Linked DNA regions of Tamandua tetradactyla. The protein of the gene in region 1 interacts with the protein of each later gene in a pairwise test. Links are inferred from orthologs where the notes say so. Each region holds a gene or a part of one and is shown on either strand. Other genes may lie near its edges.

Evidence for each region.
Region 2: the proteins of GSK3B (region 1) and BCL2L12 interact in a two-hybrid assay, tested with the Homo sapiens proteins (2 studies listed by BioGRID and IntAct). The link is inferred for Tamandua tetradactyla from reciprocal best matches to the Homo sapiens genes GSK3B and BCL2L12.

The regions. Positions count from the first base shown.
Region 1 is NC_135336.1:25,801,408-25,811,427, forward strand, and holds the start of GSK3B (glycogen synthase kinase-3 beta), read left to right. Parts: upstream 1-5,820; 5' UTR 5,821-6,174; intron 6,175-6,180; exon of another isoform or gene 6,181-6,982; 5' UTR 6,983-7,282; coding exon 7,283-7,370; intron 7,371-10,020. UniProt on the Homo sapiens protein: Constitutively active protein kinase that acts as a negative regulator in the hormonal control of glucose homeostasis, Wnt signaling and regulation of transcription factors and microtubules, by phosphorylating and inactivating glycogen synthase (GYS1 or GYS2), EIF2B, CTNNB1/beta-catenin, APC, AXIN1, DPYSL2/CRMP2, JUN, NFATC1/NFATC, MAPT/TAU and MACF1.
Region 2 is NC_135342.1:11,487,189-11,497,398, reverse strand, and holds the start of BCL2L12 (bcl-2-like protein 12), read left to right. Parts: upstream 1-5,325; 5' UTR 5,326-5,430; exon of another isoform or gene 5,431-5,535; 5' UTR 5,536-5,596; coding exon 5,597-5,642; intron 5,643-5,959; exon of another isoform or gene 5,960-6,020; coding exon 6,021-6,135; intron 6,136-6,349; coding exon 6,350-6,492; intron 6,493-7,213; coding exon 7,214-7,300; intron 7,301-7,375; exon of another isoform or gene 7,376-7,392; coding exon 7,393-7,484; exon of another isoform or gene 7,485-7,900; intron 7,901-8,274; coding exon 8,275-8,556; intron 8,557-10,027; coding exon 10,028-10,078; 3' UTR 10,079-10,210. Other genes in the region: IRF3 (interferon regulatory factor 3), read right to left, coding at 476-661, 1,126-1,244, 2,026-2,406, 2,499-2,691, 3,243-3,313, 3,400-3,571, 4,185-4,349.

The DNA.
Region 1 (10,020 bases):
CCCAGAGAAGCTAAGTCAAGGCCCACAGATACCAAGGGAGGAATGGAGCCCAGGAGCAAGGGACAGCACATGCCAGCCACATGCCTTCCCAGCTGACAGAGGTGTTCCAGATAGTATAAGCCTTTCTTGAGTGAAGATAACCATTTGTTGGTACCTTAGTTTGGACATTTTCTCTGCACTAGAACTGTAAATTTGTAACTTTTTAAATTCCATTTTTAAAAGCCATTGCATTTCAACAGCTTAGCAAACTAATTCAGCCAACTGGGCACCATCATCTGGCTATGCTGACACATTAATCTAACCATTACACACATATACAATATAAAATGTCCCATTTAAACCACATTGAAGCAGATAATTCAGAGGTATTATTTACTTTCATAATGTTGTGCTGCCATTACCACCATTAATTAGCAAAACTTTTCCATCACCCAAAAAGAAACTCTGTAGCTATTAAGCATTAACTCATCATTCCCCACCACACCCCTCCCCCACCCGATAACATATAATCTTCCGTCTCTATGAATTTGTATATTCTAATTTTTCACTTGTATGCAATTCTGCAATGTTTGTCCTTTTTTGTCTTATTTCACTCCACATGATATCTTTGAGGTTCATCCATGTTGTGGTGTCTATCAGTACTTCATTTCATTTTATATTCTTTCGTATGTAAAAACCACTTTTTGTTTATTCATTCATCTGTTGATGGATACTTGAGTTACTCCTATTTTTTGGCAATTGTGAATAATGCCACTATGAACATCAGTGTGCAAATATCTATTCAAATCCCTGCTTTTAATTCTTCTGGGTACATACTAGACGTGGAATTGCCAGGTCATATTAATTCTATACTTAACCTTATGTGGAGCCACAAACTGCTTTCCACAGCAGCTGCACCGTTTTACATTTCTATCAACAATATATGAATGTTCCTATTTCTCTGCAGTTTCATCAACACATTTTTTTTTAATAACATTTTCTTAATACTAGCCATTCTAATGGGTGTGAAATGGTATTTCATTGTGGTTTTGACTTACATTTCCCTAATTGGTTAATGATGTTGAATAGCTTTTCATTGTCATAGTGGCCATTTTATATATATTTTTGAGAAATACTTATTTAAATCTTTCGTAATTTTAAAATTGGATTGTCTTTCTGTTGTTGAGTTGTAGAAGTTCTTTATATATTCTAGTTATCAAACCCTTATTAAATATATATTTTTCAAATATTTTTTCTCATTCTATAGCTAGCCTTTTCACTTTTCTTAAAAATGCCCTCTGATGGAGATATTTTTTTACTGTTGATGAAATCCAGCTAATTTTTTCTTCGGTTGGAAAGTCTGAGAATCCATTGTCTAATATACGTCCTGAAGATATCTCCTTATGTTTTCTTCTAAGCATTTTATAGTTTTAGCTCTTATATTTACATCATTGATCCATTTTAAGTTAATTTTTATATGTGGTGTGTTTTAGTTTGTCAGTGCTGCCAGAACACAACATACCAGAAACAGAATGGATTTTTTTTTTTTTTGGGTGCATGGTCCAGGATTGAACCTGGGTCTCCCACATGGAAGACAAGCATTCTACCACTGAACCACCTGCGCACCCTGGGACAGCTTTTAAAAAGGGAATTTATTAAGCTGCAAGTTCACAGTTCTAAGGCTATAAAACTGTTCAAACCAAGGCATCCAGGGAAAGATACCTTGGCTCAAGAAGGCTGATGTGTCCAGAATACCTCTGTCTGCTGGGAAAGTGTGTTACTGGCATCTGCTGGGGTCTTTGGCTTCTTGTTTCAAACAGCTCCCTGAGAGTGTTTTCTTTCTTCATCTTCAAATGTCTGGGTCTCTTGTTGGCTCTGACGCTTTTTCCAAAATTGTTTCCTCTTAGAGGACTCCAGTACTCAACCCCATCTTGAATGGGTGAAGACAAATCTCCATGGAAACCAACTAATCAAAAGGTCCCACCCACAGTTGGGTGGATCACATCTCCACGGAAATGACTTAATTAAAAAAAAATCCCACCCAGCAATATTTAAATAGGATTAAAGAACATGGCTTTTCTGGGGTATACAAGTTTCAAACCAACACATGGTATGACGTAAAGGTCTGCTTTCTTTCTTTCGTATGTGGAAATCCAGTTTTTCCAGCACTATTTTTGAAGAGACCATCTTTTTTCCCCACTGAGTGGACTTGGCAACCTTGCCAAATTCAATTAGCATTAGATATGTGGGTTTACTTCTGAATTTTCAATTTTATTCCATCGGTCTGTATGTCTGTTTTTTTGTGCCATTATCACACTGCTTTGATTAATGGAGCTTTGTAATAAATTCTGAAATTGTGAAGTGTGAGTCCTTACCTTTCTTCTTCTTTTTCAAGATATATTTGGCTATTCAGGATTTCTTACCTTGCCTATGAATTTGAGAATTGGATTTTTCCACCTCTGCAAAGAAATATTTTGGAATTTTGATTGGAAGTGCATTGAATCTGTTTATTAAATTTGAAGGGCAGCACCCAGGAACACTGTAGGTATTTAATATATGTTGGTCAAGTAAATGAGCTCCTAGGAAGAGCTTGTTCACAGACTTATGTTTGGAATGGCTGCCACCAGGTTCATTAAAAAAAAAAACTCATATTCTATTTGCTACTCTCATTATTAAAGCTACCTACAGTTTCCTCAAACTTCAATTTAAAATGTAGCTAGGTGATTCTGAGCAACTCATTTACTCACTCTAGTGTTTAGCTTCCTTATTTGCAAAAAGAGAATAGCTTTACTGGCTTGCTGTGAGGACAAAATGATATAACACATGTTAAAATACTTCCTAAACCTCAAAATGCTATGCAAATGCTTATTACTACAGAATTTATAAAGTCAGTTCATTGTGCATTTTAATTTATAACTACCATCTTGTAGACTCTCTTACCCACTACCCTACTCAACCATTCTCTATCAACCGGCTTTCCACCCTTTATCTTTTTCCAGTTGTTTAGTTTACTGATACTGCGGCTTAGAATCACTAATCTCTGCAAGGCACCACTTGATGGGCCCTAGAGAAAAACAAACTGATATTCTATAAGGTTTGTTCAAAACCAGAAATACACAGTAAGAAAGTATAAGGTTTAGATTATAGAAAAAGCAACATGTACCAGGAGAAGTAGGGACAGAAGTACACAGGAGACGCTAAGAATAGGCTCTCCGAACCCCAGTTCTACTTTTTATTCTAGCTTTCTAAACGTTTCTTGTCCTCAGTTTCCTTATCTGAGGATCAGAGATGAAAATAGTACTTCAAAGAATATTATGAAATTTAAATGAGATGGTATTTATAAAATACTTAAGAACAGTGCATGGAACATTGCAAACAATTTATTTATAATTAATATAAACTGATAAAGTGGCTGACAGTAAGCAGGAAAGTAAGAATAGGTTTGCAAGTTCACAAAAGCAATTACTGAATGTTAGTTGCAGTAGTTTTGTATTTTCTCATAAACTTCTTCAAGCCCTAATTCTTGGACTGCAGTACACTTTCTTCTTTCTTATAAAATCTACCCCTCTTGGTCTGATTTTTTTTTTTTATACAACATCAGTTCAAAATACTGAAGGCAGCAACAATAAAGTAATTATAACCTCAATGTACACAACTTTTGTACTATTAAATACAAAGGAGCAAGTATGCTATTAATCTGTATGACATAAACGTTTGTTTCCTATGGTATAGTTGGGAGTTGGAATACGGAGTACAGAAGAGGAAGGTGAGATTCAAAGCTAAAAGGGTTCATAGCATTTTACTCTTTTTTTTTTTTTTCCACATGGGCAGGCACCGGGAATCAAACCCAGGTCCTTGGGCATGGCAGGCAAGCATTCTTACCTGCTGAGCCACCATGGCCCACCCGACTCATAGCATTTTAGGTAGCAGCACTAAAGGTCTTTCCTGATACTTGGCATGGAGAGGAACCATTCAGCAGACAAAGCCACCATTCCCTGATTATGCTTTTAACATTCTTTACCCTAGCCATGACATCCACTGACTACATGTTCTCTCTTCATTACAAAGAATAAGGTTTTTTACTACTACAAACTGATGAACTAACTGTTGGTTACCCCTGATGTTTCTTGCTTGGCCCGAGGTGTTTCGCATAGCCATGACATCCACTGACTACATGTTCTCTCTTCATTACAAAGAATAAGGGTTTTTACTACTACAAACTGATGAACTAACTGTTGGTTACCCCTGATGTTTCTTGCTTGGCCCGAGGTGTTTCGAAATACTGATTGCTAACATTTAAACATCCAGAGAGTTCACACAAAAACCCAGTTTTAGGGGTTCTCCTGGGGTAAAAAAGGAAGCGATTATCTCAGGACACTGGACATACATTTCTTCAGGTGAGACGCATCTGCTTCCTCTGGTGATGCGTGGACACTTCAATTTGCCATTCTGTATTCCCTATTACCTTACATCAAGCCAGCTTCACTGATTTGCTTTACTCGTCTGGCTTCTCTAGACATATGAGTCAGCAAATTCTATCTAGACCTTTCCTGTCTCCCATCAAAGGTCACCTGATTCTGTCCCAAGTCCCTCATCAGCTTTTACAAAGAAATAGGTAATCTGATCAAATACGGGTACTATCTGAGATAGTATCTTAACAGAAAGGGATGATTCTGCAGGTACAAATTACAGGCACCAACGGTTCACAATCAGGATAACTTTCCGTTCTACTTTGCCTATCCGGACATAGCCATATTTCACTGCCTTGTGGCAGACCAAAGTAATCACTTTTTTTTTTTTTTTTTTAGTGTAGAAGAACGAATGTGTGAAATCTACTCAAACTGGACTTTCACAGATCACTCCAGTTCCAAAGGACTTCAACCACTATGGGCTCATTTTTTTCTCCATTTCCTCAGAGGCTTCCGAACATGCGGCCTGACGGAATTTCTCACCTACTTTTGGGACCGGTTTTGCAGTCCACACAGTCTACACAAGGAGCGCGCGCAACCAGCATGAGCTCATTTCTCAGAGGCGTTTCCAGAAGGCCCAAACTGGACGCGCGCATCTAGGCGCAGTCGGCCTCATTCTAGCTATGGCTCCAGCAGCTGGGTGGGGCACGACCGCTCAGAGATGCTGCCTTTCTGGAAGCTTTGTTTCCACTTTAGCACCCGGCCACGGTGAAAACTCGCATCCTGCCAAGGAAGCTCCCTTGGCTCGTTGAGCCCTTTTGGGGAAGACGCAGGTACATCGGACTCACGATCCCGGGCTCAGGGAAGCCTCAGACACGCAGTTTTGGCCGTGCCCCGCAGACAGCCTTTATTTGGTGGAAGAACTCCTCGACATTCCTCCGTTTAAAAGCTCGGAGCCCAGTCCCACCCACCGCAGACATTTCGGATGGGGGTGCAAAAAGTCCGAGCTACCTGCACGGCCTGACAGCAGTCGCATAAACCTCCGTCAGGCTGGCACCACTACTCCAGTTAAGGTTCTCCCAGATACTAGGACTGCCGCCGCAGGCTGAAAACCAATCACACTACAGCTATGTCTTGCGATAAGACGGCAGTGAGTTTCGATTGGCTATCGCTAAGAGCTTCGCCCTCCCTCCCTTTCCTTTTGCCCCCCACACCAGCGCCAAAGTTTCAAGCCAATGAGAAGGCATTTTATAGACGTCCTCTCTTCGCTTTCTTCTGCTCCGCACCACGGCGAGGGAGGAGACGTCGTAACTGGCTAGACTATTCTCGGAAGCCTCCTTTCCCCTCACCAATCACCCAGCGAGGTATAATCCCAGCCGAGTTTTTCAGCCAATTATAAAGAGGCAGCGGTGCCCAACCGCGCAATTTCACCAGCGACTCCCAGGTTCATCGTCCTTAACTCTTCGTGCTTTTTCGTGAGGGCGACTGACTCTGATTGGTCACTGCTGCATTGTCGATTTTCTCTTCCGTCCAGCCATAGAACAAGGCGAATCCACCTTTATCCCGTTCGGCTATCTTCGACAATCTTCGCTCTTTGGGTGTGGGTTACCAGCGACACTTTCTAATTGGTTCCTCAAGCCGATCGGCTCTTTCCGGAGGAGTCTCAAACAAACGGCGTCGTGATTGGCCCAACTCGGTCTTCGGCTTCTCAGCCGAAGTGGGCGGGTGCGAGCTCGGTCGGCGATTCCCAGACGCCTGTTACGCGGGCGGTGGGGCTCTAGGCGGGGTAAGGCTGGGTGGGGGAGGAAGGAGGCGGAGGACGAGTAGGAAGGGGGAGGGGGGTGAGGAAGAGCTAGGCGACTGCGCAGACGACGCTCCTCACACAGAACAGCCCCGACCCAGGCGAATGCGGGTTTGTGCTGCTGCTGCCGCCGCCCGGGCCGAGTGACAAAGGAAGGAAGGAGGGAAGCGAGGAGTAGCCGACCCCGCAGCCGCTGACAAGGCTTCGGGCTGAGGGCAAAGCGCCGACACTTCCTCAGCGGACACGGAGCAGAGGCTAGGGGTGGGAGGGCGGCCGCGCTGGTGCGGTGGACGGGGGAGGGGGCCCCGAGGGACGGAAGCGGTTGCCGGGTTCCCATGTCCCCGGCGTATGGGGAGCAGTCGAGGAGCCGCTGCCTGGGGTCTGAAGGGAGCTGCCTCCGCTACCGCCGCCGCCATGGCCGCTGGATCCAGCCGCCGCCTGCAGCTGCTCCTGGCGCAATGAGAAGAGGATCTGCTGCCACCGCCCGCTTCTGACTGACTCGCGACTCAGCCGCCCTCTAGTTCGCGGGGCCCCTGCCGTCAGTCCGCCAGATCCCGCCGCCGCCGCCGCCGGAGCCGCAGCGTTTCCCGTCGCATCTCCGAGGCACCCCCTCCCTCTCCTTCCCTCCTTCCCATCCCCCTTCTCTTCAAGCGTGAGACTCGTGATCCTTCCGCCGCTTCCCTTCTTCATTGACTCGGAAAAAAAATCCCCGAGGAATATATAATATTCTAAGTGCTTATTTTCAATCAAGTATTTGTCCCCGTTTCACGTGAGTTTTTTTTTTTTTTTTTAGGATCCCTCCTTTTCTTCCCCTCCCCCAGGAAAGGGAGGGGAAAGAATTGTATTTTTTTTCCCCATCCCCAAATCATCTATATGTTAAATATCCGTACCGATCTGTCTTGAAGGAGAAATACATCGATCGTTTTTTATAGCTATACAAAAGGAGTGAAAAGCCAAGAGGACGAAGTCTTTTTTTATTTTTCCTGTGGGAGAACTTAATGCTGCATTTATCATTAACCTAACAACCCAATACAAAGCAAAAGGAAGAAAAGGAGGAAGGAAGGAAAAGAAGGTGATTCGGGGAGACAGGATCATGTCAGGGCGGCCCAGAACCACCTCCTTTGCGGAGAGCTGCAAGCCAGTGCAGCAGCCTTCAGCTTTTGGCAGCATGAAAGTTAGCAGTGAGTATTGATTTTAATTTACCCCCCTTCGCTACCTCACCTTTAGAATACGGAACCTTGAAATACTAGGGTTTAAAAATTTTGGGCCTCCCGATTTAACAATCTGGTTTACGAAAAAGGGCAAAATTAGTCTTCAGTAAAGGATGAGGCAGCTCCCTCTTTTCTCCTCTCGTATCCCCTTCCCCTGTCTCATTAACCTTGAATTGGCAGAATAGGATTTGTATTTGGATGAATTGATATGAAACTTTTGTTTTTTAATAGTTTTTCTTGCTGTTGGTAGTCAGTTTTATCGAGTGTTTTGAGTGTTTTCGTGTTAAAATAGTGATGAAAGTGTTTACTTGCTTATTCTCTTGAATAAAGAAAACAAGACTTGTTTCATAAGACATGTACGCTTGCGGAGTGTACTTTTTTTGAGTGAGGGAGGATATTGAATACAGTTTCGTATATTTAATAGATGCTCTAAATATCACATCCCCCTAACATGTTTTTCTTGCTTGTGTGACTATACAAAGTATTGTTCTTAATCCGGGGGTGAACTTGATCAGGAACCAACCTTTATGTTTGAAGTGAGCATTGACTCCTCTCCTTGGAACTGGCGTTTGGGAGCCCATAGCTATCCAGCAGCAGTACCATCTCTACATGCATTGTCTTAAATTGAATAAGTGGTTTAATGCACTTTTTTTTATGCTTCCATTTTGACATTACCAGTTTAACACTAATTTGTTTAGTCAAAAGGTAACTTGAAAGTAGGTATAAGTTTTGAGGTTTGTAATGTCATATTGCCAAATACTAGGTTACATGTTAATTGCCACTGATTCATTGTCATTTAAGTTCAATTTGGGGGTGTCTTTGCATTCATTACTTTTAAATGTTCTAGAGTACAGGGGTCCTCTATTAGGACTATTTAAAACACTCTTATCTTGGCTTCCTGTTACATTTAGAAAGAATATGAATTTAATGATAAGAATATGGATTTAGCTCTTTTTGTCACGGCTTTGCAAAAGCCTGTGGCCCTGGATATAATAGGGTTATTTGGGCTGTGCTTGATAGGAGCTGTTGCCAGACTGTACTCTTGTCCTGGATTTGTGCTGAAAAGTCCATGTTCGTGAGGTGGTTGGTATACTAAGTATCTGATGTTCTATTGTATCTCTGTTTGTGGAGATGTTTATTGTATATTTGATGAAGTGTTTAATGACAGCTTATTTAAATATACTTCCAGAATTTGTCAGAAATGTGTGTATTGTCTCCTTTTTCCTCCAGAGAGGGGCATAATGAGATAAAAAACAAGCTCTTGCTGCCTAGAACAGAAAACTGAGGAACTGAGATTTAAAAATATATATATATATATGCTATTACATGTACAATGATTACTTTTAATTGAATTTAAGATTTCAAATCATGTGGCTTTTTGAGTCCAGGTTTATAGCTGAATGGCAGATTAATTTTTTAAGTTAATCCCCCTTCCCCCTCGTGACTAGACTAGCTAGTAGAGAATGCAGGGTATGTAAAGAGGCAAGCTGATTATGCATCTTTAAAGGAATAGACAGGCTTTCTAAGCACCTCATGGGGTCAGTTGAAAGGAATTGTTTAAAATTCTGGGCTAATTTTCCACTATGATGAAGCAAATCTTATAATAGCCTCTTAAGAGCCTCTTGTGGTACTGGAGTGCTTGTACACGTTTTACATTTTGGTAATATTGTTTAAAAACTACTCGAGATCAATTTAGGTAATTAATTCATTAAATCTGCTTCAGAGAACAAAACGGAATAGCTAATTCTAAGTTTTTGGACTTTTCCTTTTGTTTCCAGGATTTTCTTTGAAAATGATTGTTAGTTCTTGATAATACGGATGTTGACTGAGGGTAGAGTAACTCTTAGAAAGTGTGTAGATTAAAATGTTTTTAAATTGTATTTAGATTAATTTAACATTTAAAAAGTTGGAGTTCAGTGCTAATTATGTTTTTGAAGACCTTGAAGGGCATTTTTAGAAGAAAGGGGAGTCCTTAAGAACCTATTTAAATGCTAGAATTCTAAGGGACCCTGTTCAAAACAAAGATTTCTAAGAAGTTAAGGTCCTTGGCCTCATGAGCCTATCATTTAGTTGTGAAGGCAGGTTTATGGGATAAAATATGAAAACAGTTGCATGATGACTGCAGGGTGATAAAATACAAGTGTAATCTTTTGTTCTGAGGGACAAAGAATAAAAGGGTTGAAGCAGATGAGTTGGAAAGGGAACATTTTCTGTAGAAGGTGAGTTTTAAGATAGGCTTTAAAGGAGGCAAAACTTGAATTGATGGAGAAGCAAGAAGTATTAGTATTCTAAATGGAAGAAATGGGCAGAGGCACAGAGGTGGTGATTTTGTGTGGGAGGCAGCAGCAAGATGGCAAATCTGAATTAAAGAGGCCTGAAAACGAAAATAAGAAGAGATGGAATTTGAGAAATATGATAAGGTTAGCTGCTGGAAGGCAGTGGGGGCTTAATAACAGGTTGGTTGAATTTTATAAGATGATTGGGATTCACTGTAGGCTGCTGAACAAGATATTTGAAGATGAATTGGGTAGCAGATTTGATGAGAGACGTTAGAGCAATTTTAGGGAAATGGGAGGAGATATTATGGTATATTATGAATGAAGAGGGGAATAAAATAAAA
Region 2 (10,210 bases), on another chromosome or scaffold:
TCCATCATCCCCATCCGCAGGAGAGGCCCGGGTCACACAACAGGACTTGGGCCAAATCTGGAAGAGGGTCCAAGGCCCCCCGCAGAAGCGGAGGTTGGCAGGAAGTGCTCTGCTTGTTGACCATCATCCCAGCCCTCATAGGCAGGGCAGGCCGGGGCCGATTCTGCCTTGGGGTCTCCCTGTGGAGCCGCACCCCTGCTCCCACTCAGACCTGGGTCCCGCCTGGCTCACACTTCCTGCCCTGTGGCCTCTGCCCCTCCCCAGGCCTCGTGTCTTGGTCTGTAAAGCAAGAGTGACTGCCACCTACCCCCGGCTCAGGTAAGGCAATGAGCACCAGCTGCCTGCCTGGCCACCACCCACAGGTAGATAAACTGAGACCCCACTTGGGTTGGGACTGGTCTGGGCACACCCAACTCTAGACACACAAGGGGTAGCAGGAACTGCTTTATTGGCAGTGATGAGGGTAGGACAGGGCTCAGGCCTCCCCCATGGCCTGCCAATCCATCTTCTCAACCAGGTCCTGGAGGCAGACCTTTAACTGGCTGGAGGTAAGCGAGAGCGGCTGGCTGTTGGAAATATGCAGATCCACAGTGTTCTCCAGGGAGGAGGCGCCCCCGACCCGGGCGATGTCCAGCAGGGCCCTGAGGCACGTGGGAACGACCTGCAGGGCGTTGGGGAGACAGTCGGGGCACGGCATGTCCCAGCCAGTCTCAGCCCTGGGGCAGATGGGAGACTACAACCGCAGCCCAGGAGGACCATCAGACTGCTGGGAATTTCAGTGTCCCTTGAATTCACATCCAGGGTCAGGGTAGGTGCTGCGGCTTTGGGAGGAGTTCCCAGAAGCCCCTCAGGCTGAGCTGCCTGTCAGAAGGACACCTGGGAGTTGTAGTTCCTTGGAGAGGCTGCTGGGACTGGAAGTCCACAACCTGCACACAGCCCACAGAGCTCGAAGCAGGCTCCTGGGGCAAAGCCGGGTGAAGTCCACCTGGGGATGAGGGACTGGTGGCTGAGAGACTAGGAGACGTTGTAGCCTCTCAGAGGGGCTTCTGGGAGTGCTGGTTCCTGGAGTTACCCTTTGCCTGGTGAGACCCACCCACTCAGCTAGGGGGCCAGGGCTGCAGGTACCTTGACCATCACAAGCTTCTTGACCCATGGCTGGTCCTCCTGGGGCCACGACTCCCCCAGGCAGAACCAGAGTGTGTAGCGTGGCGAGCGTCTGCTTTGTTCAGTGAAGGCGATCAGATCTGAAGGGTCCAGGAGCCTAGTCAGGGATTGGGAGAGGATTCTCTTCCCACCCCCAAACCTGAGTCACGGACACCCCCCTCTTCCCTGACCAAAGGCCCATCACTCCTCAGGCGTAAACTGGGGTGTTCCTCCCTCTTCCCTCTCAGTGGGGTAGGGCTGAAAGAGCCTTCTCCCCAATCCCCATCCTGAGCCTTAGCATTCAGGATGAGGGAAACTGAGGCCCAGAGGAGTGGGGGGTGGGGGGGCCCATTGGTCCCCCAAGGGTGCTCAGTGATTCTGCTAATAAAAGGTGATTGGTGTATTCTGCTCCTTCACTCCCAAGATCTGGAGGTGAGTATGTTTGATACACAGCCATCAGCCCCATACAGCTATTTCCATTTAAGCTGCTACAAATCAGAATGAAATAAAATATTCAGTTCCTCACGTAAGCGCTCAGCAGCCACTTTTGGCTTGTGGCTGCCACCCCAGATAACACAGAGGCAGTGCTTTCTTATTGTGCCAGTAAGTTCCACCAGGGAGCGCCAGCCTCAAGGATTTATCGTTCTAGGTGATTTATCTCTCAACCACAAAAATTAATGAGAATAGTGGTGATGGCAATGGCAGCTAATTCTCAGAGCACCTTCTGTCTATGGGGCCCTGCATCTCCTACCAGCTCCAGGTAGACAGGCAGAGAGGAGAGACAGGCTTGGGACAGGAGCATCCTTTGCCCTGGGCTACCCAGCAGTCAGGGCATCGGGGCAGAGGCTGTAGCCTCGGCTGCCGGGCCCCAGCCTCGCTCACCTGCCACAAAGGGTCTTAAGTCAAACACACTTCCATCCATGTTCTTCGGGACCTCGCCCCCTGGCCGGTGCTTGCTGTCAGGGAGCAGCTCCTCACCCATAGCCCAGTACACATGGCACTGCCCCAGCCTCCGTGCCCAGAGCCGCTGTCCTGCCCGCCACAGGGCCAGGCCTCCTCCCAGGCAGCTCAGCACGCGCCGCACATAGCACACCGTGCCCTGGTCCGTCAGGGCTCTCTCAGGGTCTGGCAGTCTTATCCGCTGCCCAGGAAGCGCCAGGTCCTCAGGCTCTGACCCCACGAGCCGCAGGCCCCCCGGACAGAAGACTGTCTCCTGCAAGGTTTGGCGGCCCCGGTAGAACACAGTCACCTCGAACTCCCACTCTGAACGGAAGCAGTAGAGATGGAGAGAGCAGGAGTGTAAGGGGGTCCACGGCTCTGGCCGCAGCCCCTCCCACTCCGCAGCTGGCACTCACCGTCCTCAGTAAGCAACAGCCCCCTCAGTGGGTTTTCAGGGGCTTCCGAGTTTGGGCAGGGAGCGTGGATGTCCAAGCAGGGGCTCAGCGGGAGCTGAGGGGGTGGCTCAGGGGCCACAGCCAGGCCCAAGGGGCCCCCATCTGGCAGAGGGGCCAAGATCATATCACCCAGTAACTCTTCCAAAATGTCCTCCTGTTGAGGGAAAGGGAAGGAGACATCGAGATTCCTCTCTGGAGACTTCAAAAGGACGGGGCCTTGAGCTCAGCACCATGGGGGCTCCACCACGGAGGGGCCAGACCTGACCAGATCTAAGCCTCGCCCACCCCTGCATGGACAGCAGGGTAGAAGCTCCGACCCATGCCATGGGCTCAGGACCCCCTTGGGTGGGAGGGGTAGCTAATTTCAACCCGTTGATCTGGCTCCATGCCAGAAGGGGCTTTCCCTGGCCCAGAGGTCCACAAGGTCAGGTGTAGGAACCTACTGAATTTATAAAAGGCTGAAGGCTCCCTGCAAAGCAAGGAAAGCTCTCAAACCTGGAAAGGGGAGTCAGGGCTTTGAACATCTAGTGAAGGTTGAATATCCCCCCAGAAGGCTACAAGCTGATGAGGGGCAGGGTCAGCTCTGGGTCCAGGTGGGGACAATGGACCACGGAGCGGGTGGCAAGGCCTGTACAGGCAGGAGGAGAGAGAGGAGAAAGAACCAGGCAGCAAGGCCAGGGGTGCAGGGCTGGGGCATGCCCTTACCTGGATATTTGGGATACTGTCTCTGCCATTGGTGTCTGGAGATGCATTCGGCTCAGGAGAGTGCCCTACTCCTGTCGAAGAAGGCAGTGAGCAGAGTAGGGGTGCAGGGGACCCCTGCCAGCCCGGCCCTCCACGCAAAGACCTACTCCTGACACACCTGCGTTGACAAACTCATAGATCTTGTGTGGGTCGAGGGGGTCCTTGCTCCGGTCTTCCACAACACGCAAATCCTCCTTTCGGTTCAGAGCCGACCGGAAGTTCCTCTTCCAGGTGGGCCGGTCTTCCTTATCTTTCCCAGGAGTGTAAGCGCCGCTAGCTTCAGCCCAGGCCTGGAGGGACGGTGGGAACGGGGGAGTGACTTAGACCCCGCCCTCCGGGGTGCTAACTCAGCCGCTTGGTATCCTAACACTGCCCTCTTACTGGCGCTTCCTGACTCAGCAAGGTCCCCACCCTTCAATTCCCGGGTTCTCCGTGCCTCAGGTCCCCACCTGAGCACCCAAAGACCTGGGCTCTCTCCCTCTGCCCTCCGGGTCCTATCCGGAGCCGCGCCCCGCTACCAGCGGCCCCAGGACATCCCCGAAATAACCCGCCTCCTGCCCTCCAACTCCCCAAGCCGCCCCGCGGGTGCCCTAGTCTGCTGGTAAGAGGTCCCAATTAGGGACTCTGAACCTCGTCCCCGTGACTCCTGGACCCGTCCCAAGATTGCATTTCCTCCGCCTACGGAGCCCCCCCTTCCTGGTTCCACGGTGGGGGTGGGGGGTGGGAAAAGGGCATTCCCACCCAGCCAGACGCCCGCCCACCTCCGCCCGGCGCACCAGCCCCGGAAGTTCAATACCCGTCGCCAGACCCCGGCCCGGAAGGCTACGCCCGCCTCCCCTCTTCATCCCAGAATCGGCCGCCCGCCGGGACCCGCCAGAGCTATCCGGGCCCGGGCCCACGCACCTGGAAGATGCGGAAGTCCTCCTGCTGCGCATCCTGCCGCAGGCCGTGCTTCCAGGGGATGCGGAAGCGCGTGCGGCTCGCGTCCACCCAGGCCACGCCCTCCAGCTGCCCCAGGTCGAGCTGCACACGCAGCCAGGGCAGGATCCGCGGCTTTTGGGCGCTCATCGTCCGGCCTGCGCGCGGGGGTGGGGGCGGGCAGTGCCTGGGCGCCAGAGGCCTCCACCTGCCCACGCGGCCCGGGCACCCCGCACCCAGACCTCCCTTTCCCGGTACCTCGGGGGCAGATCCCTCAGCCGCGTCGACTCCCTCTTAGCTGGCCCGCCGGAGAGCAACTTCTCCCCCCGTCCCAAAGTAGCCCCCCAACTAAGCAAGGACTCCCTCCCATCTCCAACCGTCCCCAATTTCTGCGGTGCACCTGAACTTCTCCAGTGTAGACGCTTCTCCCATTGCGCCCCACCCTCCCCCAGGACCCAATGCACACACACCCCCACTTCCACACCGGAGCCCTCCCTGATTATTTCCGTATAGACGCTACCTCCGCGGATCGCCCTCGAGTTCCCCCCGGAAGATCCCAGCCTCAACTCCCGGCTTCCAGAGATCTCCAGCCACAATACTCCCCGCGCGATAGGGCACGCCCCCACTTTCTAGACTATCTCTTTTTGCAGAGGAAACTTGTCCTCCCCTCCGTCCCGCGCCGTGGGTCCCTGTCCCTTCCTCCTGCACCTAATGACCTAGGCCACTGCCTCCTGCAGCTTCTCCCGCAGTTTCCCAGCGTGGCCCTTTCTTGTCCCCAGAGTGCACACTCTCCCCATCGCCCCTTCCTCTAGCGCCTCCTCAGTCTGCGACCTCCCCAACACCCTCCCCAGCTCTTCCGCGTTACTCACCTCGGGACTCGCCTCTGTCTTCTGGGCTCCGGGATAGCTCTCCAACTCCAAGCGGCGCACCTGACTTCCCTCCAGCCGGACGTCAGAGCCGTGGGACTTTCTTTGCTACCGACGTCTTGGGATAAAACCCTTTATATAATTTGGGTATAATGATATGCACACCCTCCGGATCTTTTTAGGCAATCCGGTCACAGGCAAGGCATGCTGGGAATGCATATGCAAATAAGAGGGCAGCCGGCGCTCTGGCCCTGCCCTGTCTTGGTGCCGCCCACCCCGCCCAGTGCGCAGGCGTGGGAACGGTAACTTCGAAAGTTTGCCGAAGTTGCAGCGCGGGAGGCGGCGGAGGCGGGGTCGGGGATCAGGTGAGCCGAGCCCTGGCGAGCACCAGGGCGAGCAGGGAAGAGGAGGGGGTCGCGACCCCGAAGCGGGCAGCGCATCCCCGCCTCAACGACACCCAAACGTCCCAGGCCCCCAAACTCCAGCCTCAGCCAGATACGGAACTACACCTCCCAGCAGGCTACGCAGCAAATGAGCGCAGACCGAGGGGAATTTGGCACGAAGCCCTCAGGGATTGGTAATTCTCCGTCCTGGCTGGGCTTCGGTAGCTTGGCTTGGAATCCAGGGGTCGGAGCCCCCAGCCCCCTCCTCCCTGAGACTCAGGAGTCCAGGCCCCCGGTACCCTCCTCTTCCAGGATCCAGGAGTCTTGTCTCAGTGCCTCCTCAGCCCCCTTCTCCCTCTCAAATTCAGGAGTCCAGTCTCCCCAGTCTCCTCCTCCCTTAGACCCAGAAGTTCAGCCCCCAGCCCCTTCCTCTCCCAGGATCCAGGAACCGCAGTCCCCACTCCTCCCATGGGGACCCAGGAGGACGCGCCTCTGACCCTTCCTCCTTCAGGTGCCAAGCCTCCTCTTCCATGTGGACCCTGCGTTCCAGTGCCTGGCTTCCCATCTCACAGGTGCCCCTATGGCAGGCTCAGAGGAGTTGGGGCTCCGGGATGACACACTGAGGGTCCTAGCCGCCTTCCTTAAGCAGGGCGAGGTGTCTGGGTCCCCCGTTACAGCTGCACCCAGGTAAGAAGGGTTGTCCTCCTCCCCTCAAGGGTCCATCTTTGGGGTGGGTCCCTCTCTGACTCTTGCTTCTGGTCTCACTCTGTCTCCTTCCTTCCCTTCATACCTGGTTCTTTTCCCCCGTCCCTGGGGCTACAGGGAGAGGCCCTCAGTGGGAGGAAGAAGGGACTGCTTGCAGGAGGCCTCTGGGGTCACTCTCTGAGGTTCTCCTCTCCAGGAGTCCCACCCAGGAGCAGCCAGCCGACTTCCTGAGCCGCCTTCGCCGATGCCTTCCCTGCCCCCTAGGGCGAGGAGACGTTCCCCCTGACTCCCCTCGGCCTTGCTCCCTGCCCCTCCGCCCCTGCTACAGTTCAGGGCCTGGTAAGAGATTTCCCCAGATCACCTGTGAAACCAGCAGGGCCAAGAGCCTTGATTCCTGAAGCACAGATGAGATCAGGAACTAGTTCAAGACCTCAGTAAGCCTCACCATCCTGCCCTGCCCCAGGAAATCTCTATTTGGGCTGGCTGTGAGAGGCCTGTTGGTTCCTCTCTCTTTGTCATCTCTCTCCTTCCATCCATGCCTCCCTCTCCCCAGACTTTTCTAGTCACAAGTGCCCCCCAGTAGGGAAGGAGAAATGATTTTCAGTCATGCCACTCAGGTTTTGGGGTTGGAAGCTCAACCAAAAATCCTTTCCCTTCCTTGTACCTCCACTCTCCAAAGGCAAAACTAGGAGACTAGTTTAGACTTAAGCAAGAATGGAACAGGTTTCCTCTCATGTGAGTCTGGGAAGACTAGTAATGAGAAGATAAGCACTGAGATCACTGGGTGATGCACGAAGTGGGCCAGACCCAGGGCAGAAAGAGCAGAAAGAACACTATTAGTTTTTCTACCTTGGATGGGAACATCTCCAAGGTTCCGTTTAGCCCTCACATTCTAAGTCCAGATTGGGGGCATGAAGTAGAAAGAACCAGGGTGTGGGGGTCTTTTCAAGCTTGTTCACTGTACTTTGGTGTCCCCCCCCCCCCATTATAAAATGGAAATCATTGCCCCATGGTTGAGAGAAGGAAAGAATGTAGAAGTCACTGATTCCTTTCACCCCAGGCCCGGCTACTCCAGACTTCTATGCCCTGGTGGCCCAGCGGTTGGAACAGCTGGTCCAAGAGCAACTTAGATCCCCACCTAGCCCAGGTGAGGTGCAGAGGCACCGCGCGGGAGGTCGGGAGGTCGGGAGGTAGCAGGGTAGCCACAGTTCGCCCCCAGCAGAATTCTTTTGCCTCCAGAGTTACAGGGTCCCCCACTCACGGAGAAAGAAGCCCTGCTGCGGAGGCTGGTGGCCTTGCTGGAGGAGGAGGCTGAAGTCATCAACGAGAAGGTGATGGTCCATCTCTTCCGTTTCTCAAGGAGGATGGGAATTGGCGGTTGGCAAGGCATTGGGACGAGAAGCTAGATCTGCATTTTCATTGGCTGGTCAGAAGGGGAGTGGGTGGGACAAACCTTAGAGAAAGAGTTGAGTGACAGGAAGTATGGCCAGGGGAGTACTTTAGGCTACTGGCTGTCATTGGCTTAGAGGGGCGTGACCTGTATGTGAAGGGCGTGGCCGTCAGAGGCAAGATCTAGGCAGGAAATTGGGCTAAATTGGATATGTGAGAGGAGGTATCCTTAGGTGGGGGGAAGCGAGACTGTTTAAAATCTGAGGCTCGGATTGACTTCAGCGAGGTCATGGCTTAGAGTGGAACGGACTGCTGGAGGGGGCATGCCTTGCGGCCGAGCTCTCGAATCTGATAACTCCAGAGCTTGGGCAGAATACATGGCTTTACGACAATAGAATGGCAGAGGCCCAGGTTCTTATAGGCCTTAGTTAGGGTTCCGGGGCTCTGATTGGCTCGGCAGGACTAAGGGGGCGTGGCTGAGAGATAAACAGTCTAGAACTCCGCTGCTGTAGAGGTTGGTCCTGATTGGCTGTCGAAACCTAAGGCATGGCTTAGCGTCTGTTTCTAGACCCCGCCCCTGGAACTAATTTCTCTGAGCCCCTAGAACGTGCCTTATAATGAGTTGCTGTTATAGGTGGGGGCGGGGCTTAGAGTCAATTTCTAGGTCTCCTCAGGCCCCCGCGTGGGGGCGTGGCTGAGGTGGGCTCTGCCCCTTCTGTCCCCACCCCACAGCTGGCCTCGGACCCCGCCCTGCGCCGCAAACTGGCCCGCCTCTCCGCCGCCTCTTTCGCGCGCCTCGTGGAGCTCTTTTCCAGCCGCGGGAGCGGCCCGGGCCCCGCACATGCCTCGCAGCCGTGCCCCGGACCCCCTCCGCCCTCCCCGGAGCCCCTGGCGCGCCTGGCCCTGGCCCTGGAGCTGAGCCGGCGCGTGGCCCACCTGGGGGGCACCCTGGCGGGACTCAGCGTGGAGCACGTGCACAGCTTTGCGCCCTGGATCCAGGCCCACGGGGGCTGGGTGAGCCGTCGCAGCGCCTTCCGGGCCTCGCAGCACTCGACTGAGCTGTGTGTGTGGGGGGGGGCGGCTTCTCAGGCTCCCCTTCCAACTGGCAAGTGCCCCCCCCCATTGAAGCCCTCCGTTCCTCTTGTGCACCAGGCACAGGGGATCGGTGCAGAGGCTCTTCCTGTCTTAAATGGTTCTACCATGCCGATGACCCCCGTGAGCCCCGAAACTAACCACTGTCCCTCCTGGCGCCTCTACACGTCTGTAAAGTGGGGGGAGTGGTTGGATTAGGATGGGATACTTGGAGGGTGCTGGCTCCGCGGGGACATTTGGTGCCTGGCTGTCCCCCTGTGGCTGTCCGAGTGCCCTTCCCGGCTATTCCTCTGCCTCCCCTCTTTGCTAATTTACTCAGGGAGGCCCCCCTCACCTCCACTGGGATTCTCAGCCATCTCCCTGCCCTTCCACCCTCTCCCTTCCTTCTCCTGCTTTCCTTCATCCCACCGCATTCACACCTTCTAACAGACGCTCGTGTAGAGCTCACTTGTTTTGCATGTTTGCAGCAGCTACTTAGGATCAAGATTTTCTCCCTTGTCTGCCCGCTGCCAGCGCCCTCTAAGGGCTGGATTAGGGCCCATTGTTCTGGCCTTGCGACCTTGGCAGCCTTTAGCAACAGTCTTGTCCCCGAGCCCGTCTGCCGCCTGCCCAGTGCTCACGGTTTCCTTCGCGGACCCGCCCCGTAAATCACAGTGGGAGCAGTGAGAGGAGGCCGTGCGGGGCTCATGAAATGGAGCCATCATCGCGCAAACGGGCAGCAGCGGGCGAGTGTGGCTGGAGCAGGATGAGCGAGGCAGGGGGCGGGGGGATTTGGGCGGGGGGCGGGTGAGGAGTGTCCAGATCCTGCAGAGCCTAGTGGGCCTCGGCAAGGAGCGGGCCTCGGGAGGGCTCAGGGACGTGGGTTGCTGACTGTGGGAACCGGCGCCCTCTGGTGGCCGCGTGGGGAATGGACTCGGAGAGGGGGGGTCAAGGAGGTGGGGAGCCCTGGTGGGAGGTTGGAGGTGTCCACCTAGCCTTCGGGCGCCCTTTAGACCACCTAAGCGAGATGTTTAGGAGACAGTGGACATAAGTGTCTGGGACTCAGCGAAAATGCATTTATTTATAAAAAAATTTTTCTGAATAAGGATAATGGGTAAGCTGGGGTGAGCATTGGCGGTTGGGGGGCAGGTACTTAGGATAGTAGCTGAGCCATCCAGTTAATCTGCATGACAACTTTATGGGGTTCTGTTACCCTCATCTTACAACTGAGGGAAACTTCATCATTAAAACCCCAGACCTCTGGGTCTCCGTCCCCCCCCACCCCCCCCCACGGGTCTATGTCCCCTTCCCCACTTGTTCGTTGCTATCCCCTGTCTCTGACCTCACCGGGCCAGGGTGGATACCGCTGTGCTGAGGTCACCTTCCCTGATCACTGGGCTCTTTCCCCCTCCAGGAAGGTCTCCTGGCCATCTCCCCTGTGGACTTGAACTTACCCCTGGACTGAGATCATCCTCAGAAGCTTCTACAGAACTCGACCTCACGTCCCCGCCCTTCTCAGGTGCTGTGCCAGGAGTCCCCGCTGCACTCAGGACTGGGGGGATGGGGGCTGGGAGGGCCGCCTTTTCTATTTTTGCCA